Macaca fascicularis: one gene and its partners. The protein of the gene in region 2 binds, or shares a complex with, the protein of the main gene of each other region. Links are inferred from orthologs where the notes say so. Each region holds a gene or a part of one and is shown on either strand. Other genes may lie near its edges.

Evidence for each region.
Region 1: CACNA1S (region 2) and CACNG1 share a complex: the UniProt entries of both Homo sapiens proteins name them as parts of the calcium channel complex. The link is inferred for Macaca fascicularis from reciprocal best matches to the Homo sapiens genes CACNA1S and CACNG1.
Region 3: CACNA1S (region 2) and CACNB3 share a complex: the UniProt entries of both Homo sapiens proteins name them as parts of the calcium channel complex. The link is inferred for Macaca fascicularis from reciprocal best matches to the Homo sapiens genes CACNA1S and CACNB3.
Region 4: CACNA1S (region 2) and CACNB2 share a complex: the UniProt entries of both Homo sapiens proteins name them as parts of the calcium channel complex. The link is inferred for Macaca fascicularis from reciprocal best matches to the Homo sapiens genes CACNA1S and CACNB2.
Region 5: CACNA1S (region 2) and CACNB1 share a complex: the UniProt entries of both Homo sapiens proteins name them as parts of the calcium channel complex. The link is inferred for Macaca fascicularis from reciprocal best matches to the Homo sapiens genes CACNA1S and CACNB1.
Region 6: CACNA1S (region 2) and STAC3 share a complex: the UniProt entries of both Homo sapiens proteins name them as parts of the calcium channel complex. The link is inferred for Macaca fascicularis from reciprocal best matches to the Homo sapiens genes CACNA1S and STAC3.
Region 7: the proteins of CACNA1S (region 2) and STAC2 are in contact, whole or in part, in a crystal structure (PDB 6B27), measured with the Homo sapiens proteins. The link is inferred for Macaca fascicularis from reciprocal best matches to the Homo sapiens genes CACNA1S and STAC2. Residues at the interface, in NP_000060.2 of Homo sapiens: Glu749, Pro750, Glu751, Ile752, Pro753, Ser755, Pro756, Arg757, Pro758; in NP_945344.1 of Homo sapiens: Tyr301, Lys302, Phe303, Gln306, Glu307, Asp310, Asn326, Asp328, Trp329, Phe340, Pro342, Asn344, Phe345.

The regions. Positions count from the first base shown.
Region 1 is NC_088390.1:73,473,880-73,478,351, reverse strand, and holds the start of CACNG1 (voltage-dependent calcium channel gamma-1 subunit), read right to left. Parts: upstream 3,005-4,472; 5' UTR 2,900-3,004; coding exon 2,671-2,899; intron 1-2,670. UniProt on the Homo sapiens protein: Regulatory subunit of the voltage-gated calcium channel that gives rise to L-type calcium currents in skeletal muscle. Regulates channel inactivation kinetics.
Region 2 is NC_088375.1:58,850,090-58,854,680, forward strand, and holds the start of CACNA1S (voltage-dependent L-type calcium channel subunit alpha-1S), read right to left. Parts: upstream 2,900-4,591; 5' UTR 2,822-2,899; coding exon 2,670-2,821; intron 798-2,669; coding exon 692-797; intron 1-691. UniProt on the Homo sapiens protein: Pore-forming, alpha-1S subunit of the voltage-gated calcium channel that gives rise to L-type calcium currents in skeletal muscle.
Region 3 is NC_088385.1:55,627,829-55,632,153, reverse strand, and holds the start of CACNB3 (voltage-dependent L-type calcium channel subunit beta-3), read right to left. Parts: upstream 2,890-4,325; 5' UTR 2,483-2,889; coding exon of another isoform or gene 2,438-2,482; intron 1,777-2,437; 5' UTR 1,710-1,776; exon of another isoform or gene 1,586-1,709; 5' UTR 1,522-1,585; coding exon 1,468-1,521; intron 1-1,467. UniProt on the Homo sapiens protein: Regulatory subunit of the voltage-gated calcium channel that gives rise to L-type calcium currents. Increases CACNA1B peak calcium current and shifts the voltage dependencies of channel activation and inactivation.
Region 4 is NC_088383.1:19,404,166-19,407,960, reverse strand, and holds part of CACNB2 (voltage-dependent L-type calcium channel subunit beta-2), read right to left. Parts: intron 2,104-3,795; coding exon 1,981-2,103; intron 1-1,980. UniProt on the Homo sapiens protein: Beta subunit of voltage-dependent calcium channels which contributes to the function of the calcium channel by increasing peak calcium current. Plays a role in shifting voltage dependencies of activation and inactivation of the channel.
Region 5 is NC_088390.1:60,227,219-60,231,715, forward strand, and holds the start of CACNB1 (voltage-dependent L-type calcium channel subunit beta-1), read right to left. Parts: upstream 2,819-4,497; 5' UTR 2,645-2,818; coding exon 2,561-2,644; intron 94-2,560; coding exon 7-93; intron 1-6. UniProt on the Homo sapiens protein: Regulatory subunit of L-type calcium channels. Regulates the activity of L-type calcium channels that contain CACNA1A as pore-forming subunit.
Region 6 is NC_088385.1:64,047,667-64,050,886, forward strand, and holds part of STAC3 (SH3 and cysteine-rich domain-containing protein 3), read right to left. Parts: intron 3,005-3,220; coding exon 2,932-3,004; intron 2,037-2,931; coding exon 1,939-2,036; intron 1-1,938. UniProt on the Homo sapiens protein: Required for normal excitation-contraction coupling in skeletal muscle and for normal muscle contraction in response to membrane depolarization. Required for normal Ca(2+) release from the sarcplasmic reticulum, which ultimately leads to muscle contraction.
Region 7 is NC_088390.1:60,248,813-60,252,607, forward strand, and holds part of STAC2 (SH3 and cysteine-rich domain-containing protein 2), read right to left. Parts: intron 2,730-3,795; coding exon 2,423-2,729; intron 1,412-2,422; coding exon 1,314-1,411; intron 1,139-1,313; coding exon 1,048-1,138; intron 1-1,047. UniProt on the Homo sapiens protein: Plays a redundant role in promoting the expression of calcium channel CACNA1S at the cell membrane, and thereby contributes to increased channel activity. Slows down the inactivation rate of the calcium channel CACNA1C.

The DNA of each region.
Region 1 (4,472 bases), on a different chromosome or scaffold from region 2:
GGGAATCACCAGACAGGTCAAATCATGACAATGCTCTGGGAATGGGCCTTTGATCCAACCCCATTCTCTCCCCTCCAGAGGCTACTGGGATGCTGATTTTCGCTGTGGTTATGAATGTTGGTTTGCGAGGTTACCACAGAGCTGGGAAAGGGAATCAGGAATAAGTCAAGTTAAAACACCACAGAACTCACTGGTCCTCCTGAGATTCACCCATTTTTCTTGCTGGACTTTGGTTAATTTCCAGAGTTCTGAAAATGTTGATTCTGACCATTTCCACCAGCCTTCTCATTGCTTTTATGGAGAAGAAGATTTTTGGAAGTTCTTTTTCTCTATCATCTTTTTCGTGATGTCATTCAAAGTTGATACACGTAAAGCATTTACAACAATATTCGGCACATAGGGTTACATGTATGTGCCATTATTATTGTTGTTGTTGTTAATAATAAATGAGAGGCCACATATCAACCCGCTTCCTCCCTCCAGACAAGAATGGTCCCAGGGGGCACAAGAAGGGCATATGGGGAAGGAGAAAGATGTCCATTTGCAGAGAAAAGAGAGGGAAAAAGGTAGGAACATACTTTGGAAGATGACTGGGAGAAAGGTAGTGCTCAGTGTCACAAGTGTGGGAAGTATGGTTCATAGCTGGTTAGGCTAAGAAGGCAAAGAGGTAGATCCTGGTGAGGCTCAAGGCCTGTTGGTCCAACAAGCAATGCCTGTTGGTCCCCTGTAATTGGTCTAGTCACCTCTCACCAGCCTGTCTCTTCCTTGTGTGGACTCTGCTCACTGCCCAGTCCTCTGCTCTGACTTTAAAAGGCAGATGGTTCCAAGGACGGGTGAACAGGACTGTAACAGCACGTCCCTATGCGTGGTCCCTGAAGAAGCTGCCCTGCCCTGCCCTGCCCAGGGGAGTTGGCTGGAGGGATTGCCTGTTTATGGGTGTGCTTGGCAGTCGCCAAGGGGCATGGGCATCCGGGCTATGCGATACCCTGCCAGCACATGGCCACACCTGTCACCCTCAGCCCTGGGACTCGGTGTTTCTATAACAGTTGGGCACTTACGAGTCTTCTGGGCGTCCAGTGGGCGTGAATGAGGGAGGGGATCTCTGGAGCAAGCAGCAGGGAAAGAAGAGGGAGCAGAGATATGGGAGGATGGGGTGTTGGCTCTTTGGTTCACATGCAGACTGCAAGATCTTTGGGGACTCAGCCCTAGTGTCCTTGAAGGACAGGTTTCAAGGAACACCAAAGTCTGGTAAAAGAGGGAATAATCCTGAAAACCAGGTGGGACATCACACTGACATAACCCTGCTCCACTGCCACTGTGGATGGGCGTCTGTAAACCTGGGAAGGGATCTTACATTGCTGAGAGTCAGTCCCATATTTTATAGAGGAAGAAGCAGAGGCTGAGATGATCTTTGTCCTCGCTGGATGGTCATTTGAGGGTAATGGGCAATGGTGACTAGATCCCTGGCCGCCTGGTCTCCACGTAGCACCCTTTCCTCTAAAGTGCTGTATTTGCTAAGAATCCAGAAGCCTCGGCATTTGCAGAATAGAGGCTAGTCATGCAACTACCAGGTACTCCTGAAAAGGAGCTTACCTTCGACATGTGGTTCGGTCACATGGTAGGAAATCGAGGAACACGCTTAAATTACAGGGTGAGGAAATGCTTTGTAACTCTGACAGGGTCTGAGCTAACGGAGGATGCATAATGGACTGACGTCCTGACAAAAGGGCGGGCGGAGGCCAGGCACGGTGGCTCACGCCTGTAATCCCAGCACTTTGGGAGGCCAAGGCAGGTGGATCACCTGAGGTCAGGGGTTCAAGACCAGCCTGGTCAACATGCCAAAACCCCGTCTGTACTGAAAGTACAAAACTTAGATGGGTGTGGCGGCGCATGCCTGTAATCCCAGCTACTGGGGAAGCCAAGGCAGGAGAATCACTTGAGTCCAGGAGGCGGAGGTTGCAGTGAGCCAAGATTGTACCACTGCATTCCAGCCTGGGCGACAGAGCAAAACTCTGTCTCAAAAAAAAAAAAAAAAAAAAAAAAAAGGTAGGGGCAGGTGGCTCACCCACAGCCACGTCCTGCTTCACAGGCATTCAACCTGTGCAGCTTCTCCAGGCCCAGGGCCCACAAGGGTCCATGCTTGGATTCATGTGCTGCTATCGCTGCCTTGAAATCCTTGGTAATTTGGAGCAAGGAACCCTGCATTTTCATTTTGCACAGGACCCTGCATATTCCGTCGCCTGTCCTCTCTCCTCCCCTGCCTTGAGGCCAGGGACAAACCTGCCAGCTCCATGGTTTCCCCCAGCCTGAGGACACAGAGCCACCCAGCATGTCTTTGCAGGGAGAGAGTGACCAGATGGAGCCCAGAAGTCCCTGGGCTGGTAGAGCTGCGGTTCCCGTCTTGAGCCTGCCCAGCTCTCTGTTCTGGGCGAAAAGCCCCAGGGTCCAGCCAGACAGAAATAGCTGGGACAAACGCCCTCGTCTTACAACCCAGCCCCAGCCACCAGCACAGCACATGCAATTCAGATCTTCTTCCCTGGGCAGAAAGGGCTGGGCGGCTGCCCTATCTCTAGCCTGAGAAACCTGCCTTCCTTGGCATGGGCAAATTTGTCCGGGGGACGACGGGGAAGGGCGGGAGGTGGGGATCGGGACGGAGGGTGGGTACGTTACCCCCGGGCAGGGTGATGGGCCCGCAGGTCTTGCTGTCGTCCATGGGGATGCGCTTGGTACAAATCCGCCAGAGGCCGAAGTGGGCCGCCTCGCAGGTGGTGTTGTGGTGCTCCATGTGGGGGCTCAGCACAGCCCAGTGGTCGGTTACCACGGCCGTCATGGCCAGCACGATGCCTGCCAGGATGCAGAAGAGGGTCACGCGGACCTTCAGCGTTTTGGTCTGGGACATGGTGGTCGCCGAGGCGTGGGTGCCCTGGGCAGGGTCTGGCGGCTGCGTCTCCTCCGGCAGGTGACAGCCGAGCTGGGGGGTGGCGGTGGTTGTCGAGTTGGGAGTGGCCACTAAGTTTAGTGTGCCTGGCTGAGCCAGAGTGGGCTGGCCCTGGGGCTGAGGGACGCGGGATGTGCTGAGCAGCTGCCCAGACGCGTCAGGGGCCTGAGGAAGGCTGCTATTAATGCCCCTCTCCAGGCGTGGCACCGGGGACGGCTTCTGCTCGGGTTTCAGCGCTGTCTGCCCCTCTGGGAGCCAGAAATACCCCAGTGGGGGGCGGGGCAAGGAGAGAAGGCTCTGGATGGTGGATTGAGGCCTCTATGGAGTAGCAGCTCAGGGTGCCTGAGTTGGGAGGGGGCGAGGGGTGGGCAGCAGGGCCCCAGGGGTGGAGATCTGTCTGCTCTGGGCTGATGGGAAAGGGCACCCCAGGCCAGGGGAGGAGACCAGGAGCTGCAGGCTGCACGGCCGTCCCGGGCTCCCACATTGTAAGCCTACTACCGGCGGGGCAGTGAGTAGGTTCTCATCCTGGGATCTGGGGGGCCTAGGATTCTGTCTAGGGACATCCCAGGGACCCTGTCCGGGGCCTGTGGAGTCCACCTCTCAGGCAAGCGTTTTAGCCACAAACCCCACAGCATCCCGCAAACCACAGGAAGATTTTAGGTGGTTCCCAGGCCTGGCCTTACCCAACTCTGATCCCTCCACGAGAACATTACTTCCTTTTCAATTCTCTTTCCATCCCCAAAACTGGGTCCAGAGCAGAGCTCCGTTCGAGGTCAGTGTCATTACTGCCCGCAAAGTGTCCTCTGAAACAAAGCGAGAACGGCCTGAAGAGGACGAGGAATCCTGCTGGACTTGGTTGTTCTGTTTTCAGGGCACTGTGTTTGGTTTTGCCTTCTACTAACAGCAGGTGATAACGATTTTCCAGTTACGTTTTAATTTGCAAAATATGTGTGTGAGTGAAAAAGAACGAATAGGTTGATTTATAGGGGATCATCAGGAGCTCATGGGTGTGCGGATATGGCAGAGAACACAGAAAGCCTGGGATCGACCACCCTCCGAGGGTCCTGTGCGCCTGCCTGGCCCCCAGGCCTGTCCCCGAGGCTGCGGCCTCTACGTCTCTCCTGGGTTGTGCCATCTCTCCCTTCTCAGCTCACTGGGTGGCCCTTTTTGGGTGTAGCCGAGAGGCTGATGCATGATCAGGAATAGCCTCCTGAGCTGGATGGGGCCTTGAACTTCAAAATTCTTGCCTCAGATTGACACGATTTACAGAGACTCTGCCCATGTGGACAGAAACATTTCGGCCTCCAGCCTTGGAATCACAGAAAGTTCATGATGATGATAATAGGAGCAGTGGCTCATCTTCAGTGAGTGCTTACTATCTAACAGGCACTCTGCTAAGCCTTCATCCATCATCGCAGTTACTCTTCACACCAAATCCACAAGGGAACTGTGGCTGTTTTTGCCATTTCACAGTAACACAACTGTTACTGCCATTTCACAGACAAGGACATGGACACTCAGAGACGTGAAGTCA
Region 2 (4,591 bases):
GCATTTAATAAGTACTTACTAAATGCTAACCATTTTTATTATAAATTAACTATTGGGTAAGTAAGTCCTTGAAGCTATCTAGGCCTCAATTTCCTCATCCATAAAACAGAATCAGGTGGGGAGGAGGTAGGACAGCCTAATTTTTGAATATCCCTTCCAGCCCCGGCATTTTATGGTTCCAGGTATGTGTTACCGATGAAGGGGTGAAGAGAAAGTGGTATTGTAGAACTCTAAAACATGTTCTTGCTTCAGATTCCTGGATAAAACTCTCCCATGAAGGCAAACTTAGTGGACACAAGTTTCTTATGAATTACATCTAGGGAAGGGAAATTAGCATTCAACCTCTGTGGTTCACTAGCTGACCTTACGAAGCCTCAGTTTCCACATCTATCAAATGGAACCACTTTATGAGGTGGTTGTGAAGATTAAATGAGTTTACTCTCATCCGGTATTAGCACAGTGCCCGGGACCAATGACTGTGTGCTCAGTGCTGGCTGACAATGTCACAGAATCTAGAATAAGCACGTTGACCCTGGAAACCTGTTGAGCCACTCAGCCAGCCCTGCAGGTGGGTGGGGATGCAGGGAGTTAAACCACCAGCACCATCCCCCAGAACAGAGTCCACCAAGGGGGCCTCCCCAAGCCTGGGGCTGCAGGCCGGCAGGAAGGGGGATGGAAGAGCCAATCTTACCAGGCCGAGGTTCAGAGAGTTGTTGTCATCTTCTGGCATGGGCAGGTACACGGCCAAGGCCACACAGTTGGCAAAGATGGTAAGCAAGATGATCGTCTCGAAGGGCCTGGAGCCAGGGTTAAGGAGAGCCCTTGGGCCACAGGGGCATGGGACTTACAGGGTTAAGGGGAAGAGGGCGCTGAGGGTCAGTTTGGACTGTGACTCTGATGCCAGGCAGGTGGACAGGCTGTTGGACACTCACCCACGATGCTCCTTCCCTGAGCACCTGCAGGATACAGTGAGGACCAGGTTCCTGCCTTGACAACTGGCTCCCTTTCCTCAGGAACAAGTCGCTTTCACATAGACTCCTTGGAATGGTAAAGGTCTGGTCCCTGGCTAAGGGCTACTCAGCTTTAAGGCCTAGGGGGTCTTCACACCGCTCCACTCTCAGTGCCTGTCTACGCCCTCGCCTCCTCCCAGGGAGCCATGACTTTCCCAGATTCTGGCCAATCCACAGAGGCTCACCCAGAGAAATGGCACGGGAGGGTAAGGGTTGCTGCGGGGTAAGGTTGAGAACTCACCGAGCAGGACTGGGAATGAGGGATGGAGAGATGAACGATGAATTTCCAGAGCCATGTGTGCATGCTGGTGTGCTCGTGCTCACACCCATCACACCTCGCCCCTCCCAGACACACCCACCCACAGCCATTTCTAGAGGGTACCCCAGGTCCATGGCTTTCTTGACTTTCTGACCCATTAGGCAGCAAGTGTGGAAAGAGCTAGAGAAAGCAAGGGAGGAAGCGAGGCAGTTGTTTGGGGGCGGATGGGGAGGCATATTATGTAGATGGGCTTGGCAGAAAAATCCCATTCTCTTCCCAGTAACCTCCAGTGTTTGAGAAAAGAGGAGGGCCACAGGGGCAGGGGGCTACGAGAGGGGAAGGTGCAGAGGAGCAGAGGATGGAGGAGAGGGAGAACCCATGGAGTAAACCTGTTTGCAGAAGAGAGGCAAGGAGGGAGGGCCTAGGAGGGTTCGATGTGGGTGATTCACCGACTGGCCAAGGGCAGGTGAAGGGAACAAGGCTGACACTGACCCCAAGATATCTCTACTTGCCCCACGTTTGTCTTGTCCTTCTAGTTATCCCTCATTCTCCTTCCTTCTAGGGAACAGTTGGTAGGAGCCCAGCCTTCCAGAACCCTTCAGAAATATTTCAAATATGCCCGACCCTCGCTCTCAGAACCCACTTGACACAGCCCTCCCCTTCTCTCTGTCACTCCTTCCTCCCTTCCCCAGATAACCCGGATATTTTCAGCATTCTTCCCCCCAGAGCAAATGCAAACACAGCATGAGATTCGAAGTCTCTGTCCCCAGGGTGGCACGTCTGAGCTAGAACACCCAGGCTTGCTTGGCCTGTGTCTTGGAGCCACTCAGACCAGGTGTCTTTCAGACCCATTTTTTCCCTTGGCTCTGTCCTCAGCTGGGATCTGCCCCCAGAGGGGTCACCCGCCACCCAACCCAAACAAGGGGGAGTTTTCTCAAAGAGGCCATTGAACCTTTTATTGGTTCCTATCCTATTCTGAAATGAGGCTGGTGCTTCAAAAACCTAGTGGCACCCCATGATAATGTGGATTTGGGCACACCTGGGAACAGTCCCCATGAAGCAGGCCCCACCCATAGGTGGTCAGTAGGCATCTCTGGTTGTCACCCAGGACTTGGGTGGCCTGCTCAGGCCCAGGAAGCCCCACCAAGTCCTCCTCCTCTTCCTCCTCCTCTTCCTGTTCCTCCTCCCCCCTCCTCCTTCTCTCCCTCCTCTTCCTCCTCCTCCTCTCCTGCGCAGCTGAGGGCTCCTTCCCCCAGCCTCACTCAATTCTGTGAGTTCACCCCAGGTCTAAGTCCCAGGCCTCCCTGGCCCTCCTGTAGGAAGTGTGTGCTCTGTGATCACCCCTGAATCCCTCCCCCATGATGCATGCTCCCCACCACGGCCTGGGCCCTGAAGGATACTTCCATTCTACGATGCTGATGCAGGCCTTCCTCAGGGGGTTCTCCAGGGTCAGGCAGAACAAGGCCCGGGGTGGCCTTGGCAAAATCTCAGGAACCGGCTTCTTGGGCTGTTTCTTCCTCAGGCCTTCATCCTGGGGTGAGGACGGCTCCATGGCTTCCCTGGGAATCTGGCTCCCCCTCCCCAGTGCCCTCTCTTCCCTGCGTCCCCAATGCCCCCCGCCTTGAGGACTGGGCTGGCTGAGGCTGTCGGCTGAGCCTGCCCTGCTGAGCCAGCCGGGGGGCGGGGGCAGCAGTGGGGGCAGGAGGATTACTCTCCCCACTCCCAGCAAGTAAAATTAGCCTCCACTCGGCTCCCCACTGCCGGGCCTGAGCTCCTGAGGCCAGACAGCTGTCATTCCATCCAGTCCAGCCAGTGGCTTCCCAATCTGTCCCCTGAGGAGGGTGGGGGATGGGGAGAAGAACTTACACACAGGCCTGGGATGGGGCAGGGGCAGTGGGAGAGGGAGACAGGATGGAAGGTTTCAAGCCTGCGGCAACAGAGATCAGGAAGCGGTAGCCTTGGATATGGAACCTCAAACGGCAGAGTGGCCCCCTCATGCCAAAATTAGGTTTCCCCTCCTCAGCCCCATGACATTGTCTGGAGAAGGCACTGGGCAGCCTAAGTCAGGACAGCTCCACAGCACCCTCTACCTAGCTCAGTATTTGCACCATCAGCCAAGACTCCCCAAACATACCCTCAACCCACCCCCCAAGCAATCCCATGTCAGGGAAACAGTAAACCCCTCTCCAGTGGGCTGGAAGACTCCCAGAACATCCCTGAGTGTACACACCTCTGGCATAGCACCTGCCTCACTGTGGAGCATCTGCTGTGTATCTTTCTTCCTCACCTCCTCCCACCCCTACAGGTGTAAAGGTTGTGGGCTTTATCTCTGGGACTCTGGCCCCTTCTCTGCACAGTCCCCACATATACTATGCTCCCTGTAAATGATCACTGAGGCCAGGCGTGGTGGCTCATGCCTGTAATCCCAACACTTTGGGAGGCTGAGGTGGGCAAATGGCTAGAGCTCAGGAGTTCAAGACCAGCCGGTGCAAGTGGTGAAACTCTGTCTCTACAAAAAATACAAAAATTAGCAGGGTGTGGTGGTGTGTGTTTGTAGTCCCAGCTAGTAAGGAGGCCAAGGTGAGAGGATCAGTTGAGTCTGGGAGGTTGAGGCTGCAATGAGCCAAGATCGGGCCACTGTACTCCAGCCTGGGTGACAGAATGAGACAGAGTGAGACTTTGTCTCAAAAAGAAAAGTTCATTGAGGTCAGCCGCGGTGGCGCATGCCTGTAATCCCAGCACTTTGGGAAGCCAAGGTGGGCAGATTACTTGAGGTCAGGAATTCCAGACCAGCATGGCCAACATGGTGAAACCTGAACTCTACTAAAAATACCAAAAATTAGTGGGCGTGGTGGTGTGCACCTGTAATCCCAGCTACTCTGGAGGCCAAGGCAGGAGAATTGCTCAAACCCAGGAGGCAGAGGTTGCAGTGAGCAGGCATAGAATCACTGCACTCCAGCCTGGGCAACAGAGCAAAACCTGTCTCAAAAATAAAAATAAAAATAAAAATAAAAATTAAAATTAAAAAAAAAAATTCATTGAATGCCTGAGCTAACACTGAACCTTAAATGCGCTAACAGCGAATCCCACATACACTTCCAGCAAGTACTCTGGACTAGGAGTGGGAATGAGAAAGGGGCACCAGGAAGGGTGAGGGTAGACAATGATCTAGGAATGAGAAAAATTCAAAAATCCTTTTATTTAGCTCTTTGGTGCCAACACAGTGCCTATGTACCCATATGCACACCCCCCTCCCCCAAGGCTTACAGTCTGAGGGAAAAAACCACAGTCCCCACCCAACCTGGGACAAAACTAGATGACC
Region 3 (4,325 bases), on a different chromosome or scaffold from region 2:
TTCAAGCATTTCTCCTGCCCCAGCCTCCTGAGTGGTTGGGACTACAGGCATGCGCCACCATGCTAGGCTAATTTCTGTATTTTTAGGAGACACGGGCTTTCACCATATTGGCCAGGCTGGTTTCCAACTCCTGACCTCAAGTGATCCGCCCGGCTTGGCCACCCAAAGCGCTGGGATTACAGGCCTGAGCCACCTTGCGGCCTAATTTAGTAGTAATAACGCCTGGGGCATCTGGGGTTACCTGACCTCTCACCCTGGGATGGGAATCACAGGATCTCTCCCTAAATAATTTTTTTTTTTTTTTTTTGAGACGGAGTCTCACGCTGTTGCCCAGGCTGGAGTGCAGTGGCGCGATCTCGGCTCACTGCAAGCTCCGCCTCCCGGGTTCCCGCCATTCTCCTGCCTCAGCCTCCTGAGTAGCTGGGACTACAGGCGCCCGCCACCGCGCCCGGCTAATTTTTTGTATTTTTAGTAGAGACGGGGTTTCACTGTGGTCTCGATCTCCTGACCTTGTGATCCGCCCGCCTCGGCCTCCCAAAGTGCTGGGATTACAGGCTTGAGCCACCGCGCCCGGCCGTCTCTCCCTAAATAATTAATGAGTTGTGCTCAGAATGGAAGCCCCTCTCCATTACTTCCAAGTCCTCCAGGCTAACTTATCTCTCGTGCTCCGGTATTACTTCGGGAGGCCAGGGCTGCCCTGCCAGGCATGATCTAGGGTCTTACCTTTCCTGTACCCTGCTATGCCAAAAGAGCCAGAGTGTCAGTACTTTGGAGCTGCCAGGAGTTGGCACAGTGCCCTGGTGGTGCCCCCCTTGCCTAGTGAGTGTGTGGGCAGGCTGCAGCTCCTCTCTTGCCTGGCACGGGGGAAGGAGAGGAGGGAGATGAGCCGTTGGATTTATTTAGAGCCTGATCTCCCTCCTACTGCTTCAGAGGGGGCCTCAGGGAGAGCAAGGAGCCAGGCAAGAGAAAGGGAGGTGGGGGAGGGTGATCAGGAGCCAGAGAGCGATGGGAGGGAGCAATGGGTCAGCAGGCTGTCCTCCAACACCATCCACATGTCAGTCTGTTCCTTGCAATAGCCCTTGCCTTCTCACCAGGGATGGGAAGAACCTCCTAGGGCCCTCCAGCCCCACAGAGAGGTTTGTTCTCAAGCTCACCTTGGCACCCTGGGCTATACCAGCTGTCCCTTCAACTGTCAGAAAGAGGTGTCCACCAGAGCCTTGAAAATGATCTGCTCTAGCAGCAATGTAATTACCCCAGAGGCCCCATGGAAAATTGGGCCCAGAAGGAGCCCAGTCCCAGAAAAGGACAGTTGCCTATTCTGAGCATCAGCACTCATCTATCCTGGGCCTGGCAGCAAGTGATGGGAGAAGACTGGAACATACTCCTCTTTCCGACCCAGGGGTGCTCCATCCTATCGGGACCCCTTCCAAGCCATCTATTGGTCCACTCCTAAGGAGGCCTTCTTACAGGACATTTGAGGGAAAGTTGGCAGCTCCAAGGGTCTGAGAAGCTGCTCCGCATTCTTGCCCCATCTTTCCAGGCACTCTCCCTGCTGTCTGAGCTCCGGGAATCACTGCTTAATGAGCTGATTTGTCTCAGTGGGTCAGGAGATAAAAGCAAAGAGGAGAATTAAATATTTATTGGTTGCCTGTTTCTCTGAGCAAAGCGCATCCTCTCCATCCCCAGGCCCTCAGCTCCTCTGGCCTCACCTCCAGGCCCTCCATGCTGGGCAAGAGCTCAGGATGCCCGCTGCTCAGAGGAAGCCTCAGCAGGGGGCTGTGGAATGGATGGGGCTCAGTCACCTGGCCTACCCATGTGCTGGGTGCCCAGGTTTCAGCCTGAGAGGGAAACTGGGCTAGAGAAAGGGTGAGGAGATGAGGCAGTGCGCAGAGATGGAGGGGGTAGAAGGGAATAATGGAGCTCCTCAAGTTTTAGGATCCCTCTGTCTAAAGAGGCTGGTCCCTGGCTCCCTGGTGTCCTCTCAGCTCCCTAATGTGTTGTTTGCTTGAGGCACAAGAGGTCCGGAATGTCTGCCTCCCCAACTACCTCGGCGGCTCTCCTAGCTGTTGTGTTCAGACCCCAGAAATCCAGAATTTGGAACTCCAGACATGGCGTGTTCCCTCTCCAGAGCCTCTGTGCCCTCGGCCTCCAGCCCTGCCTCCTCCCACCCCTCTTTCCTGGGCCGTGGAGCCACCTGCTTGAGCCCTTCCCCTATACTGCCCCCTCTCTGCACACACCCGATGCCCCAGGGTCTGAGTCTGGGTCGCTGGGGAGCGCTTGGCATGAAAATCCATCTCCCCACGTTTTTAGAGCGCCCCCCTACACACACTGCCCTGCCACTGAGGCGTTTTTCAAAGTCCTGAACTGGGGGAAGGGTTGAAGGGAGAGGAGGTGTCACCCCAACTTCCCCGCCCCCACCCTCACCGTGGGCACTCACCGCCTCCGAGTCCTCAAACCCGGGCACGTAGGAGTCGTCATACATGGGGGAGTCCGGGTGGGGGAAGCGAGCGGCGCCGGGGGCGGGAGCGGCCCGGAGGCAGGGGCGAGGACTGCGGGCCGCGCCCGGGAGATGCCACGGAGCCCCGCAGCCCTGCGGGCGGCGGCGGGGAGCGAGAGAGCGCGAAGGAGGGAGCGAGCCGCGAAGACCAGCTGCTCGGAGCTCAAATCACCGCTCCCCCCACCCCACCCCCCCAAACCCAGCCGGTCCCACCCCGAGCGCGGCTGAGGAATCTGGCGCCCGCTCCTACAACAATAGTGCCCGCCCACCTGACCCCCTCCCTGGGAGAAGGCGGGGGCGGCGAGGGGGCGGCGGCCACCGGGGAGCCCGGGCCAGGCCCGGAGAGGGGAACGGACCCGTGCTGGGTGGAAGGTGGGTCCCGGAGCACCTACGGGGCCTTGGCGGCTGGGAGGAAGGGGAGGAGAGGCTGCGGGCGGGGCGGATCCAGGCAGGGAGGAGGCGGGGCGAGGAGAGATGCGGAGACAGAGACGCTCGGCAACCCAGGAACTACTCCGCCGGGAAACAAAGGGCTGCGGCGGGGGAGGGAGGGGGCGCTGAGACCGCGAGGAAGACGCGACCCGGGCGGAGACTGGAGAGGGCGCAGGTGTCGAGGAAGCCGGAGAGAGAGAGGCAGAGGGAGGACGGAGAGGACAGGAAAATGGGGAGACCCTGGGAGACAGAAGAGGCGCGGGAACAAGCGGCAGACGGGGGAGGGGTCCCAGGCGACAGCAGTGCGGGTCTGGGCCCGTGCGTCCCGGAGGCTCCGAAGCAGACCCCGCAGTAGTCCCGGGGAGGAATGGGCTTAGTGCCCCCAGGCTAATGCCAGGACGGCAACTCCTGCCCCAACAGGTGCCCGGCCCCCTCAGTACGGGAACGCTGCGGCAAAGGCGGTGTTGCCTAGCCCTTGAGAAGGGAGGAACTTTCCGTGAGCTGGATAGGCCTCCCCACACCTGTTGCACAGATAGATTTCGTCTTAGTCCGGCCAGGATGGGGGTTCCGTTCCCCACTTCCCTGCCAAGGATCGTGCCAGACAGTGCCAAGGCATCCGTGGGAACTGGGTCAGAAAGGGGCTATTTTAGGTGAGCCTAAAGGGAGGGGAGAGAAACCAGAGGGTGGTGGTAGGGGATAGTTGTGGGTGGGATCCTGGCTACACTGGGGTTAGGAGAGGAAAGGGCCAGTCTCCTCAGAGTCACTAGGGTAAGGCCAGATTCTCCCCTCAGCAGAAGGGCTTGTACCACTCTGCACCACTCAGTCTCCTTCACAGGAACACTGAGATTTGAGGTAAGAGAGCCGCAGCCCTTATATTGAGGAAACTTTCCCCAAAGATCCACCCATTTGAGCTCTCTCCTTTTTTCATCTCCTGAGCAAAATTCCTTCTTTGATTTTTGACTGCCTACCTTTGTGCCCCACAAGGAGGACGTCCATAGACAGGGGTACACTTGGAGGCCTCCTGGTGCCCATGCCCTTGGCCCTGAGCTCAGTCCTTTTCCTTTCCCAATTTCTCACACCCGGGAGTTCAGCAATCTGCTCATCCCTCCTAGGCTTGAGGAGAATCAGACATCCAAAACTCTGACATAGCTTAATAAGATCTGTGGTAGAAGGCACTGTGCATGGGAGAGAGAAAGCCCACCCAAACCAAGTGGCTTCCCACCTGGGTCACTTATCGGTGTTATCTTAGCAAGAAAAAGAAGAGGCTTCATCTTCAGACTGACATCTTTAGTCTGTCTACTGTGGGTGGCCCAGAGCAGCCCTGCCCAGCACCTTCCTCATGCTGGGTTTGACAAACAACTTTGTTACAGCCCCTGTGGCTGAAGGGACGTCGCTATTG
Region 4 (3,795 bases), on a different chromosome or scaffold from region 2:
TCTCTGGGTTCAAAGAATAACAGCCCATCCTACCAAGAGATCTTTAGGAAGTAGTGTTACAGAAATATTCCCCTTATATAATCAGAAGTATTGAGAGAAAGAGATAAATATTGAAGTCTACCTTAAATATTTCATGTCACAGGACAATTTACCTTTGTGCAAACAGTTTTATAATTACACAGTGCGATGTTCACAGATGATTTCTCTACTTGTGTGATGTTGACAATTTATCTCTTGCAGGTGGAATATGTATCTTAAATCTTTATGATCTGCCTTCATTTTCCTTGATGGAATAAATCTGTCCTTGAACACCTCAAAGAAGAATATACATTCTGTTTTTCTCCTTTCCCCTTTCAGCACCAACCATCAAGAAGAGGCCCCGTAATAATCTAACTTCCCGGTGTTAAGTGAGATTCTAGGCACAGCATCACTTCTGATAACTTTTTCTATTGTTCCCACCAAGCCAGTATTTGACATCTCTTTTCAGAGGTTACCAAAATGGTAGGCTCTAAATTCTCTAGGTTGTTTTATTTTTAATCGAGATAGGGTCTTGCTCTGTCGCCCAGGCTGGAATACATTGACATGATCCCAGCTCGCTTCCGTCTTGAACTCCCAGGCTCAATCAATCCACTGGCCTCAGCCTCCTGAGTAGCTGGGACTCCCAGTGTGTGCCACCATGCCCAGCTAATTTTTTTTTTTTTTTGTAGAGATGGGGTTTTACCCTGTTGCCCAGGCTGGTCTCAAACTCCTGGGTTCAAGAGATCAGGTTTCCTTGACCTCTCAAAGCGCTTGGATTACAGGCATGAGCCATAGTATCCAGGCTTCTAGGTTCTTTTTTTTTTTTTTTTTTTAGACTGAATCTCACTCTGTCGCCAGGCTGGGGTGCAGCGGCGCGATCTCGGCTCACTGCAACCTCCGACTCCCTGATTCAAGCTATTCTCCTACCTCAGCCTCCCGAGTAGCTGAGATTACAGGCATATACCACTACACCCAGCTAATTTTTGTATTTTTAGTGGAGACAGGGTTTCGCCATGTTGGCCAGGATGGTCTTGGTTTCCTGACCTTGTGATCCGCCCGCCTTGGCCTCCCAAAGTGCTGGGATTACAGGCATGAGCCACTGCGCCCGGCCCTAGGCTCTTTTAATTGGCAGTCATCAACTCCTTTGCTGACAGCCTTTAGTGCAGTGAAGAGATTAAATTTACACATGCTTCCTATAACATATTATACCCTACATGGAAGGGCTCCAAGTATAAATTCCTCCAGGTCCAAGAAAAACCTCAGGATCACACACTGAGAATATTCTACAGGGGAAATTTCTGGTCAGTTAACACAGTGCTCCACAAGGCAGGCATTTGATAAATGTTGACTCCAAGCAAAGCTTAATTAAGGATGAATGTTTCCAGTTTGCAGGTTGTATCATTGCTCACTAAAAGGTGGAGACATTTAGCATGTGGGAAAAGGACTTTTCCTGATACCTCTTTGTTGCCTTACTGGCATCAATGCTTACCATTCTCTCATCCACTGCAGAAATTTAGCATTTAAGGAGGAAAAAGGGCATCAGTAGTTTGAGTTTAGACACTGCCAGCAGAGAGGAGTCACGAATTCTAGATATTATTATTAAACCTTCCCCAGATGGCTAGACTTCAGGCATCAGAAAACTACACCTAGTCAAGGTGAAACATTAAAAGAAGAAGTACAGGGTAAGTATAAAAAAGGATCATCTACTCTAGCAGTTCCCAATTTCTGGGCCACAGAGCCCCAGGGAGCGCTGAAGTTATTGCAAGAGGCCCGTGACTTCTTTCCACTTTAAAAGGTATATTTATATTAGCAGAGGTTGAGAGCCATTGATTTAGTATGTATGTTATACAACTGCAGTGATGTGTGATGCTGCTTCACAGAAATGGCATCTGAATAGGAAATAAGAAATGGTATGTCAAGGTGAAACATCATGCTGATAGAAAATGAAATTATTCTCCTTACTTCCTTAACATGCAGAAAATCTTTTGCTTCGAATGAGATGGCCATGCCAGGCACTGGAACATCATCTTCATGGGCCGCACTGTAGCTGACATTTGTCCGAACCGCAAATGCCACGGGCTTTGTCTAAAGTGGGAACAGAAAGAGGGAAAAAAATAAGAACAAAACAACAGTGTCCCTCCTTCTTCCCCTCAAATACAAAGATACACTGAATAACTGCTGTAATCGATGTTGGTTTCCCCGCTGCATTGGTTCTTTATCACAAAACAGTTTGTTCATATTCACAACACGTGAAATCTCCTAGCTCTGAGCTACGTAGCACCCATTTCTGAACTAGAAAAAGCCATTGTTCTCTTTGAAAGCACTACAAGTAAAGACGGCGAAGATGAGCCACAGAAATATGTGTTTTCAACATTGGCGCTTGTAGCAACTGTAAATCAGGAAACACAAACGTGAATAAAATGCCCAGTTCTTCGGTTTCAGTGGAAAGGACTTAGTAACTGCCTCACTACCCCAAACATCTACTTTAATTAATTCATCATTAATGACATAATTCCGAAAGGTACAGTCTTTTGAATGAAAAAAGAACCGGGGAATATATGCTATAACTATAGCAGCTCTTACTCATGGCTGCAACGAATTATGAAAGCCATGACCTTTTCTTCTATTATTTCTCCTCCTTGAGTTCGTTCAACTACTAAAGATGATATTAATTAAGCTCTCTTTCCTTCTTTGATGCTTCGAAATTTTACAGATAAAGGGCCGGAAGTGGTGGCTCACGCCTGTAATCCCAGCATTTTGTGAGGCCAAGGCAAGAGGATTGCTTGAGCCTGGGAGTTCAAGATCAGCCTGGGAACACAGCAAGACCTCTTCTCACTAAAAATCAAAAACAAAAATTAGCTAGGTGTGGTGGCAGGCACCTATACGCCCAACAACTTGGGAGGCTAAGGCAAGAGGATCACTTCAGCCCAGGGGGTCTAGGCTGCAGTGAGCTGTGATCACGCGACTGCACTCCAGCCTGGGGGACAAAGTCAGTCCCTGTCTCAAAAAAAAGAAAAAAACAAATCAAACCAAAAGAATTTACAGATAAGCATTTATTCTCTCTTTAGCTAATATCTATTTATCCACAAGGTGGAAAAAACAGGTAAGCTCAGAAATGGTGAAAATTGTATTGTTCTAAGTGGTATTGTATTTCTTTCCCCATTATGGGCAAGTGGATTGCTTCTATATATTTCTTTCTTTCTTTTCTTTTCTTTTTTTTTTTTTTTTGACAGAGTCTCACTGTGTAGCTCAGGCTGCAGTACAGTGGTGCAATCTCAGCTCACTGCAACCTCCTCCTCTGGAGTTCAATTGATTCTCCTGCTTCAGCCTCCCGAGTAGCTGGGATTATAGACGTGAGCCACCGCACCCAGCTAATTTTTTGTATTTTTAGTAGAGACAGGGTTTCACTGTGTTGGCCAGGCTGGTCTAGAACTCCTGACCTTGGGTGATCTGCCTGCCTCGGCCTCCCAAAGTGCTGGGATTACAGGCATGAGCCACCATGCCCGGCCTCTTCTATATATTTCTTATATACACCATATATACAAAGTAACATAGTTTTTCATGTGATATTCCTTTTAACCTATTTTTTTTTCTTTTTTTTTTTGTGGAGACAGAGTTTCGCTCTTGTTGCCCAGGCTGGAGTGCAATGGTACGATCTCGGCTCATTGCAACCTCCACCTCCTGCGTTCAAGTGATTCTCCTGCCTCAGCCTCCCAAGTTGCTGGGATTACAGGTGCCCGCCACCACGCCCAGCTAATTTTTTGTATTTTTAGTAGA
Region 5 (4,497 bases), on a different chromosome or scaffold from region 2:
CATTACCTGGCGGACAAAGCTGTTGGATGTGGTATCTGAGGACGTGCTCCCATCCGACCGTTTGAATCGCCCTTTTCTCTTGCTGTATTTGCCCTGGAGAGGCCAGGAAAGGAACAAGAGTAGAATCAGAAGGGCCCTTTCCCAACCCTCATCTTGCCAGCCCCAGAGCTACAGCCAAGCTCGGGAACAGCATTCCCAGATCCGAAGAGCCCTACCCCCAAGCCCCTGCACCTTCCTCCTGAGGTGGTGCGGCCCAAGGGGAGGGAGGGTCTCCCATCCTCATAGAGAGGACCCAGAGCACAGCCAGGAGTGGGGACCAATGCAAGAGAGCCCTGGGAGGCCCACATGGAAACCCCCAAACCAAGCTAGAGAGGCTGGGAATGGGGGAGGCACGGAGAAGCTGGAGGCTCATTAGGCAGCAGAGCTAATTAAGATGCTGGGCAGGCTGCAGAGGCCTCCGAGGAAGGGAGAGGCAGCCGGCAGTGCTGGGTGTGCGGGGCGGGGGGAGAGAGCGGGAAAGTCCCCCCCCACTCCCCCTCCGCAGGAGCAGAGCAGGGCTGTTTGTGTTGGTGGCCCCCAGAGAGGAGGAACTGCCAACCCAGGGCCCAGCCTGGCTTCTCCCCTGTGCCCAACTCTTCCTTTGCTATTCACAGAGTAGGGAGGGGATGACAGCTCTCTTGGAGACTCAGAGCCAGATTTCTGGGGAGGGAGTAGGGGCATGGAACTGTATTTGGAGAGTAAACATCCAGCCCGATCCCTGGCACCATAGGGGCAGATTTTGCTTCCCACTCTCATCCCTTGCCCCGACAGGACTTTTTCTCAGCTCCCTCTCTCACAATCACAGTAGCTACAACCCTCCCCAAGGAGGCAAGAGGGATGAAGCTTGTACCCTGTGGCCCCCAGCTGCCACTGCCAACGCCCCATGTGCATGGTACCCATCAGGCTATATCAATCTAAATATCCCTCGGCCCCACCCCACATGAGCCTAGGACACAGCCCCACAGATCCCTAGCGGGTAGACTGGCTGGCTCAGTCTCACAGACCCAGCTCCTGGCTCAGCCTGACCATTGAGGAAGCAACACGTTCAGGTTAAGGGCGTCAGGTATTTCCAGGCCTCCTGTAAGAAGAGCTGCTTCTGGCCCTCCCCATCTCGTAGGCGCACACACACTTGGCCTCAGCCCAGTCCAGAATGGGGAGAGTGAGTGAGGGCTCAGACTTCCAAGTCCCTGCTCTTGGTCTCCATCCTAGACCTTCTTTGGCCAAAGAACCTGGAGGGGCCATGACCAGACTGGGGGCTTTGGCTGCTGGGATCAGGGTACAAGAAAGAGGATGGAAAATGGGAGAGGAGGGCACCTGGGGACCTTTCCAAGATCCTCCTCTCCCCACTCGTCTCTCAAACCAGACATATACCCCAACTCTAGTTCTGGCGCTCCCTACAAACCTAAGAGGATTCCCCAGTGAATCCCAGACACCACCCTCCCCCTGCACTGCCAGGCTGGGCAAAGGGAGTGGCACTCAGAGGGACAGGGGACAGCTGAAAGGAAGGCCCCAGTCAGCTGCCTCCCAGGCTCAAAGGGGCCTGGGGTGGAGGAAGGTATTTTTAGGTCTGACTTGACCCCTCTACATACCCATCAATCACATTATCATGGTGGTTACAGCTGGTGGCCACAGTAACAGAAGAGTTAATGCTATCCTTGGAGAAGGACAGTCCCAAAGAAATCCCCTGGCGCGACCATCCCAGAGCCTGCTGGTCACCCCATGGGAACCCACCGCGCCCAAGAATGCCACTTCCTAGGGGTTACCAGGGGCGTAAGAAAAGTGTGCGGGTGGGGATGGAGAAGTAGACCCCTCCCCCAGGTAAAACAGCTCTTCCCCTTCCCGGGCAGTGAGTTGGCATCCATCCAACTTTCCAAACTTTGGAGGCGTTTTCAGGGCGGGGGTGGGGGTGGGGTAAGTCAACGTGGGTGTTGGGGGAGGGGAGCAGGTCCGACATGGAGATGGAGCCCAGGTGGCTGGGAGGGGACCTCGCCCGGAGTTGGCCCTTTCCCCACCCTCAAGATCCAGTGTCTGCGGCTCTGAAGGCCTGTTTGCATTTGGCACCGCCCTCTGACCATCGCCTTGGCCACCTCCTCGTGCCACCCCCGCCCCACCCACACCCGCCTGGCGCCCCCGAGCGTGCTCTGCGTCGCCCCCCTTGCCTGGCTCGCTTTCTAGCCTCCTTCAACCTCCCCTTCTCAAGGCCCAGATCCCACCACCACCAGCACCCCTACGCTCAGCCCACTGAAGCTGGTGCCCAAGCGGCAGGAACCTTGACGCGGGGGAGACAAGGAGGCGAGGGTGACAGGCAGCCCACCCGCCCCCTCCCCGCTCCGCAGCATCGCCACCCAGCCCCAGGCCCAGAGCCCATCAATCACAACCTGCAAGGATCGGGGACGCGCAGGCATCCCTCTCCCCTTCGCGCCCGGCATATAACCCCTTCCTCTCCCGCGCCTTTCGAGCCGACCTCAACACTGTCCGTGGGAGCGGCCCCCTCCTCTCGGGCCGGGCCACCACGCCTCACCTGCGGGCTGGGGTCGAAGACCTCCATGGGGATCTCCTGGGAGGGTGGGTAAGGGCCCCGGGACATGCCGGTCTTCTGGACCATGGAGAGGAGCCTCCCCTCCCGCCGCCGGCCCGGCCCAGCCGGGCGCCCTCAGCGCATGGGAGAGGCCGTGGGAGCCGAAAGCAGCGCGGCACAGCCAGCACCCGGTCCAGCCACCCAGCTCGGCCTTCGGCTGCCTCCTTCCTGCCTTCCCTCGCTCCTCCCGCTCTCTCCACTGCCGCCGCCGCCTCCCCAGCAGGCTCAGCATCTCCCCGCGCCCCTCCCTCGCTCCCTCCCTCCGCCCGCCCCGGCCCCGCCCCTCGCAGCCCCTCCTCCGGCTCGGCGCACACAATGGGCGTGCGGCAAGCTGGGAGGCAAGCGCCTCTCGGCTCTAGAGGGCCGCAGGTGGGCCTCTGACTGGCTGTGGGGTGCAGGCGGCCCGCTGGGGCGGGAAGGGAGAAACTAGGCGTGGATACTTGGGGAAGGGGTCGGGGGTCGGTCTACCAGTGGATGCCGAGCGCTGATGGGGATGAAGCGCGGACTGGCATGGCTAGCACCGCCCCCTTTTGTCTCAAACCTATCTTCCTGCGGGTCCCCCCAACCCACTCCTGTTTGGGCCACCAGAACTTCCCGGTCCCGGTGATCCTGGGACCTGGCTTTAACTCCTTTCTCCCCAGTGCGGGACCCAGGCTGCCTTAAACCAAACAGAAAAGCCTCTACCCCTCCAACATGGCTCTGGGGCTGCCGGTGGGAGGCTGAGGCTGAGATGGGGACGGTGTCCAACAGCGACAGCAAAAGAAATCCCAGGGGTCCAGGAGTTCTGCCCTAATCGGTCACTAGGATACACGCCCCCACCCCTGACCCGCTCTTCCAAAAGGCCATGAATGGGGCTGGGCGAAGTCCCTGCTGTTGGATGAGAAAAGAGGAAGCAATATGGAGCCGAGAAAGAAGAGGCTGGTAAAATCAGATCTCATGACCTTTGACCTAGAATTGCTCCACCTTTACCCCTGATTTAGGGACAAACATCCAAGGTCTGGACTCCACCCACCAAGACAGGTGGATAGAGGAGGAATAGGAGATTCTGGGCAATAGACCCTGGTGCCAATTTAGCTCAGGCTGTTTCTGGTTGTATAGCCCTGGACAAACCACCTAAGCACCAGTTTTCTCCTCTCCTATAAAATGTGGTTGCTGGCACTGTGGAGTCTGTGTCACCTGGGATTATTGGGAGGATGAGGGAATTAAATGAATTGCTAGGGTGTTTGGAGAAGCTGTAAGTTTCAATGAAGGAGTCAGCCATTCCCTCCCTACTCCACCCCTGCTCCACAGAAAGGAGAGGTGGAGAAGACCCTCTCCAGGTCAAGCGACCTTAAAATAAGGCCACCAGCTTGCTGTGTTCTGCAGGAGAGGAGACTATGGGACTCCTCCTCCTCACCTGTGATAACAAATGAATGGCCGCTCTGTCATTCCTCTGATCACAACACCTTCGGGAAGGAGGAGCAGTGAGTGAAGATAAAGCCCATTAGAAACATTCCAGGAGAGCTCCAATCCTGAGCACGGCTTCCACCTGACCCTTGGAGAGGAGAAAGCCTGGCATAACCGCAAAAGCATGGGCTTTGCAATCAGAAATACCTGCGTTCTCAATCTGTTACCTCAGCTGTAAAATGAGGGCAACGCTAATTGTGTTGTTGTGAGGAAGTAGCATAAATGTTGATTCCCTTTCTCTTTCTTCTACTTTCTCAGCCAGGAAAGTTGAGATGAAACGGATAGGGTGATCAGCGGGAACCAATGATGAGTTGGAGCCTCAATTCAGATGTAGACTTCTTAAACCCCAGAATGCTCTCCTTGGATTTTTGCATTGGGTGTTCCAGATCAGAAGAAAAGAACTGAGTGGTCCTGCCTTTTTTTTTTTTTTGAGA
Region 6 (3,220 bases), on a different chromosome or scaffold from region 2:
AAAAAAAAAAAAAAAAAAAGAGCAGCACAATTTTTATAATTCCCTTAAAAGAATATAACCCAAGAGTATGTTAGCCCTTCTGGAAGCAGCCAAATCACACTGCTAGTGCCTTGTAAGTCAGAATTCACTCCATAGAAATCCCTTATCTGTGCCCAACCTCCATATCAACAAGTCTGAGGCCAGATTTCTAGTTCTGTTTTTTGCAGGTGATTTTTTGATCAAGAACAAATATGTACATTTATCTTTTCTTTTCTTTTTTTTTTTTTTTTTTTGAGACAAGATCTTGCTTTCTCCCTCAGGCTGAAGTGTGAAGTGCAGTGGCTCACTGCAACCTCTGCCTCCCGGGTTCAAGCGATTCTCCTGCCTCAGCCTCCCAAGTAGCTGGGATTATAAGTGAGTGCCACCACGCCCTGGAGATATATATATATATATATATAGTGTGTGTGTGTGTGTGTGTTTTCAGTAGAGACAGGGTTTCACCATGTTGGCCAGGCAGGTTTCGAACTCCTGACCTCAAGTAATCTGCCCACCTTGGCGTCCCAAAGTGTTGGGATTACAGGCGTGAGCCACCGCACCTGGCATGAACATACAATTTGTATCTTCATTATATCTAAATCATGTTATAACGCACCAGAAATCTCCCTCTAGCTGTATAATACTGAAAGGACCTGGACTCTGAGTACTGCCACTCAACCAATTTTAGGAGTCCATCTAACTGTAACCATCATCCATACTGGTCCAATCCTGGTTGTCCAGAAAGATATAAGAATATTCTAACAAATTCCATGCTGAACTGAATGCAAATCTATGGCATTACTAACCTAGAAACCCTGTTACAAAAGGAAATGAGGTTTATCTTGGCCAGTAGCTTTGTGCCTCAGTTTCATCATCTGTAAAATGAATGGGTCAGACCAGATGATCTTCATGGATCCTTGCATGGCTCTAGAATTCTCCAGTTACTTGGCATGACAAGTTCTCTTTCCTACATCCAAAAGCACAGCTCTTGCCTCTGTCACCCAGCAATGCCAAAGACTTTGGGCCTAGCCTTCATGTGGTTGTAGTGGCTAATCTGACTATTTCAGAAGGAAGCTGAGAAAACGTAATCTATGGCTAGAGTTCTTAACCAGAGGCCCATGGTGAGTGAGCTGCAGTAGGTCCCAAAACCCCCTAAAATTGCATGCAAAAATATTTCTGTTGGGTTATGTGCAATTTTTTTTTTCTTTTTCTTTTCTTTTTTTTTTTTTTAAGACAGAATCTCACTCTGTCGGCTAGGCTGGCGTGCAGTGGCACGATCTCGGCTCACTGCAACCTCCGCCTCCTGGGCTCAAGCAATTCTCCTGCCTCAGCCTCCCAAGTAGCTGGGATTACAGGCGTGTGCTACCACACCTGGCTAATTTTTGTATTTTTAGTGGAGACGGGGTTTCACCATGTTGGCCAGGCTGGTCTCAAACTCCTGACCTCAGGTAATCCACCCGCCTTGGCCTCCCAAAGTGCTGGGATTACAGGCATGAGCCACCTCACCCGGCCTTTTTTTTTTTTTTTTTTTGAGATGGAGTCTTGCTCTGTCACCCAGGCTAGAGTGCAGTGGTGTGATTTCAGCTCACTGCAACCTCCGCCTCCTGGGTTCAAGTGATTCTCTTGCCTCAGCCTCCCGAGTAGCTGGGATTACACACAACCATGCCTGGCTAATTTTTGTATTTTTAGTAAAGACGAGGTTTCACCATGTTGGCCAGGATGGTCTTGATCTCCTGGCTTCATGATCCACCCGCCCTGGCCTTCCAAAGTGCTGGGATTACAGGCATGAGCCACCATGCCTGGTCGGGTTATGTGCAATTTTAGGGGAAGATAATCCATTACTTCTGTCAGCTTCCCAAATGGGAAAATGACCTGCTCCATGGGATCTCTGGGAGGGACCTCGTGGGGAGGTACAGTGCTCACATTTTTTTTATCTGCCTGTCCCTTCTTCCGTTCCTTGTTTGCCATGATCACCCCAGTGCGCAGGGTTTCAAACACAGGGTCATTGCGATTGGCAGCAGCTAATCAAATTGGAGGAGAAAGAAGACATTATTGGGGAGGCAGAGAAAGGCTTGGAGGAAAGGAAGCGAAAGGCAGGATCGAGTAGATGGATACCCATGTGTGTGCTGGGTGGCAGTGGGGGCGCCGTGGGGGAAGATTAGGGAAGGGTCAGCTGAGCAATACCTAGGACACCGATCTAGAAAGGACTCTAAAAACATCACTGGTGATGTAATGTGAGGGAGAAAAGTATTTATCAGAACTCCTTCCAGGCAGAGCATTATATGACGTTTGAAAGACAACTTTGGTTGCTTGGGAGTTGAGACATGCTCAGAATCACTATTCTCCTTCTAAGGAGAATGGGCCCTTAACTTCTGGTTTTTGTTCTGCTGAATGGCATGTGTAAGCTGAGGTGCTGCCACCAATAGGTTCTTCTTTTTCACCCATGCTCTTCACAGAGTTCAGCCTCTGCTCCAAATAAATGTTGAGCAAATTTGTCAATGAATATACTTTTAAGGGTTGCCAAATTATGAACATGCCCAGGGTGCCTGCAGCCTTTGGGTCTTGCCCCAAGTCTGGTATGACTCTGTAGTAAGGATGAGGACAATCTAGAATCCTTGTTCTTGCTTAGAAATGATTTTGCACATGAAGAGCACAGATTCTGAAGCTAGCAACTGAAGATTCCAGTCTTGGCGCTACCTCTTGCTAACTGTATGTAGTTGCAACTAAATCTTATCTCCCTCTGCTGTAAAATGGGGATATTGCCTCTGCATCCAAATGGATATAAAAATGTTAGGTTGAGGGAGAATTATGGGAAATAGAAAGTTTCTGTTTCAGAATTTGGCTTCCAAAGCTAGAGATGGCATGAAACCATCTCTAGGCTTGCCCATTCCCTCATGTTCCATAAAGGGCACTTACAGAGATCTTTGATACAAGCGTACTGCTGGTTGCTGTAGAGTGGGGAACTATAGGCCCGACGGAAACCAGGCGGCTGTAGGATGGGATGGGAGGAAGCATTAGAGGTAGCAAAGTAAGGTCCAGAAGCCCATCTCTCCCATGAGTGCTCACCCTTTCTCAGAAAAAGAGATGGGCTGAGAAAGAAAAAGCAGAGAAATGAATGGGATGGAGGAGGGACCAGCAAGGGGTAGCTGGTGACATGTCTCCTCCTTTCTTTTTTTTTTGAGATGGAGTCTCGCTCTGTCGCCCA
Region 7 (3,795 bases), on a different chromosome or scaffold from region 2:
TTTTTTTTTGAGACGGAGTCTCATGCTGTTGCCCAGGCTGGAGTGCAGTGGCGCGATCTCGGCTCACTGCAAGCTCCGCCTCCCGGGTTCCCGCCATTCTCCTGCCTCAGCCTCCTGAGTAGCTGGGACTACAGGCGCCCGCCACCGCGCCCGGCTAATTTTTTGTATTTTTAGTAGAGACGGGGTTTCACTGTGGTCTCGATCTCCTGACCTTGTGATCCGCCCGCCTCGGCCTCCCAAAGTGCTGGGATTACAGGCTTGAGCCACCGCGCCCGGCCTGAGCTTTTTCTTTTCTCTTAATTTAGAGACAGGGTCTCACCATGTTGCCTAGGCTGGACTGCAACTCCTGGGCTCAAGCAATCCTCCTGCCTCAGCCTCCCAAGTAGCTGGGATTACAGGAACGAGCCACCACACCCAGCTGTCAGCACACATTCTATGCTCTATTCTCTATCTTCCCCACTTAAGGCACTCATACTGATGGTGATTGATTGATGATTTGCATGACTGTCCGTTTCAGTCCTATCTCCTTTACTAGACAATAAATTCCACCTTCTTCACTACTGTGTCTCAGAGTCCAGCACTGTGCCTGGCATTTAGTACGTGCTTAATGAAGTGCTTGTTGAAGGAATGATGACTAAATGAATGAATGAACCCCAAATTCAGGACAGGAGCATCCAGAGAAGGGAAATGGTAGGAGAGCCAAGAACTGTCTGTGCCAACGTGACTCACGTACCCATCTCAGAAATGTTTCTTTCTTTCTTTTTTTTTTTTTTTAAGATGGAGTCTCGCTCTGTAGCCCAGGCTGGAGTGCAGTGGCGTAATCTTGGCTCACTGCAACCTCCACCTCCTGGGTTCAAGCAATTCTCCTGCCTCAGCCTCCCGAGTAGCTGGGACCACAGATGCCCATCACCCCGCCCAGCTAATTTTTTGTATTTTTAGTAGAGATGGGGTTTCACCGTGTTGGCCAGGATGATCAGGGATGTTGATTTCTCATCACACCACAGTGGGAGCAGGGACAGCGGCCAGGGCAGTGACAGTGGCACTCACCAGTGGGTGGGGACTCTTTGCTTGTGGCACAGGCTGGTGGCGGCTCATGTACCAGGAGAGGGGAGCTGAAGTTGCGGCGGAAGGAGGTGGACTATGGCAAGAGAGGTCACAGAGGGTTTGAGGAGGTCATGGCCCATGGAGAACTTGGTCCTTCCCAAGCCCAGGGCCCACCCCACAGGAAGGAGCAGCCCCGAGGGAGACTCATTCCCCCATGTGACAGTACTGGCAGCACTCAGTTGGCCATCTCTGCTTGGGTCCCCGCTCACCGTCTTCCCTGGGCATTGCTGGTGGGAGATCTCCTCAGAGCACCAGAGGTGGACGCTGACTTTGCACGTCTTACATCGCAAGCCCTGCTTGGAGTTTCCTAGGAAAAATTTGGGTTCAACAATTAAGGACACCCCCATGGGCAAAGGGCAAAGGAGGGGCACGTTATGGCACGAGGAGAGCAAGGGTTGGGCATTCTCGTGCCAGCATTGAGGCTCAGCACCTACCCCTCACACAGTTAGAGTATGAGGGAGCACGGAAGCCAGAGTCATTAGTAAATGCAGCAGTGACACTGAGTATAGCGCCACGCCTGGCGGTGCTCCTTTCTCCGCCTGGGGTAAGAGGCACAGTTAGGGGTGGGTGCAATGGCTCACGCCTGTAATCCCAGCACTTTGGGAGGCTGAGGCGGATGGATTGCTTGACCCAGGGTTTGACCAGCCTGAGCAACATGGCACAACCCTATCTCTACAAATAAAATTTAAAATTAGCTGGGCGGCCGGGCGCGGTGGCTCAAGCCTGTAATCCCAGCACTTTGGGAGGCCGAGACGGGCGGATCACGAGGTCAGGAGATCGAGACCATCCTGGCTAACACGGTGAAACCCCGTCTCTACTAAAAAATACAAAAAACTAGCCGGGCGAGGTGGCGGGCGCCTGTAGTCCCAGCTACTCAGGAGGCTGAGGCAGGAGAATGGCGTAAACCCGGGAGGCGGAGCTTGCAGTGAGCTGAGATCCGGCCACTGCACCCCAGCCTGGGCGACAGAGCAAGACTCCGTCTCAAAAAAAAAAATAAAAAATAAAAAATAAAATTAGCTGGGCATGGTAGTATGTGCCTGTAGTCCCGGCTACTCCAGAGACTGAGGCAGGAAGATCCCTTAAACCAGGGAGGTGGAGGTTGCAGTGAACCAAGATCGTGTCACTGCACTCCAGCCTGGGAGACAGAGCAAGACTCTGTCTCAAAAAAATAAAATAAAATAAAAATAAAAGAGGCACAGTTAGTATTGGGGCCCCTGAACAGCAAGAACCCAATAATATATTGGGCAGCAACATGGGCCCACTCCCCAGCACCCACGCCGTCCCCTCCCTTAGGCCGCCTCAGTGCCCAGGCACCTACCGACAATGAGCTGATGGCACAGCTCACAAGGGCTGGCTCGCTTGAAGACATGTTCCTGGAAGCTGTGCAGCCTCACTGGTTTGAGCGCTGCCAGGGGGCGTGGGACTGGGCATGGGGAGGGGGATGGGGTGGGCAGGCCCCTGTCCGAGGCTGTGGGTGGTGGGGAGGGAGGGGGCAGTGGGGTTGGGGGCGTCAGCAGCACCTCGGTGGGGCACTTGAGCTCAGAGCCCGAGCGAAGGAAGAAGTTCTCCACGCTCTTACTTCGGAGGATGGTCTTGAGGGAGAGGGAACGCTTGAATCGCTGGAGCTGAGAAGAAGAGGGAGCTGTGAGTGGGAGCCTAGAGGGGGCTGGCCACGGTGGGCTTCCCCTCAGGGTGTCTCTGGAGGTAGGGGTGGCAGCAGCAGCAGCATGGGGGCTAAGGGCCGAGCGAAATGAAACAGGGAGAGAGAGGCTCCCCAGGTCCTGACAATGCTTCGCAATCTCAGGTGCCACAAGAGCCCGGTGGGTGACCTCCGCGGAGAAAGGAGTTCTGGCCGGGCAATCAAGAGTGGCGGGGACTGTGGCAGTCTGGATGGCCAGGGAGTAACTGCAGACCTCCTCAAGCCAATTAAGGCTTGTCTATAAGGCCAGCCCAGTGTTGCCAGGTTTTCTAATTTTTCAAAAGAAATATAGACTTTTATGTGAAATTGGATAGAAACAAGTTTAAGAGGTTTAGTTCCATTTTTCCTTGAAGAAATGGTAGTATACTATATTTCCTGTGCCTTGTTTTTTTTCATAAACAGTAAATCTTGGAAATCATTCCATACCCATACATAAATAGATTCATCATTCTTTTTTATAGCTACAAAGTATTTTGTTGCATGGGTGTACCATTTACTCAAGTTTAAAAAAAAAAATAGGCGTGGTGTGGTGGCTCCTGCCTATAATCTCAACACTCTGGGAGGCTGAGGCCGGAGGGAATCCCTTGAGCCAAGGAGTTGGAGACCAGCCTGGGCAACATAGTATCCACCTGTGTTCTCGAACAGGCTGGTGGGGGGTGAGGAGTGGTCGTCCCAGACCCTCATCCTTGGGACTGATTCTCCCCCGAGAACATCTCTCTAGCCCTCCCCTCCCATTGATTCATCACCTCACAGCCCTTAGTTCAGGCCCTTATGCCCCAGCCTGCTTCAAGGCCACAGCCTCCCCTCCCACCCCCTGCTTCCACCTGCCCTCCATACAGCTGTTGCGGGGTGATACCTTCCTGGCTCCTCAGGACAGCGTCCAAGGCTCTCGCCCCAGCCGTGAGGCTCTCCTTGCAACTTAGCCAAACCTATCCTTCCAACCTGTGCCTTTACAGCCCAGAAATGAGGATTCTCGAACTCATGCATGCTTT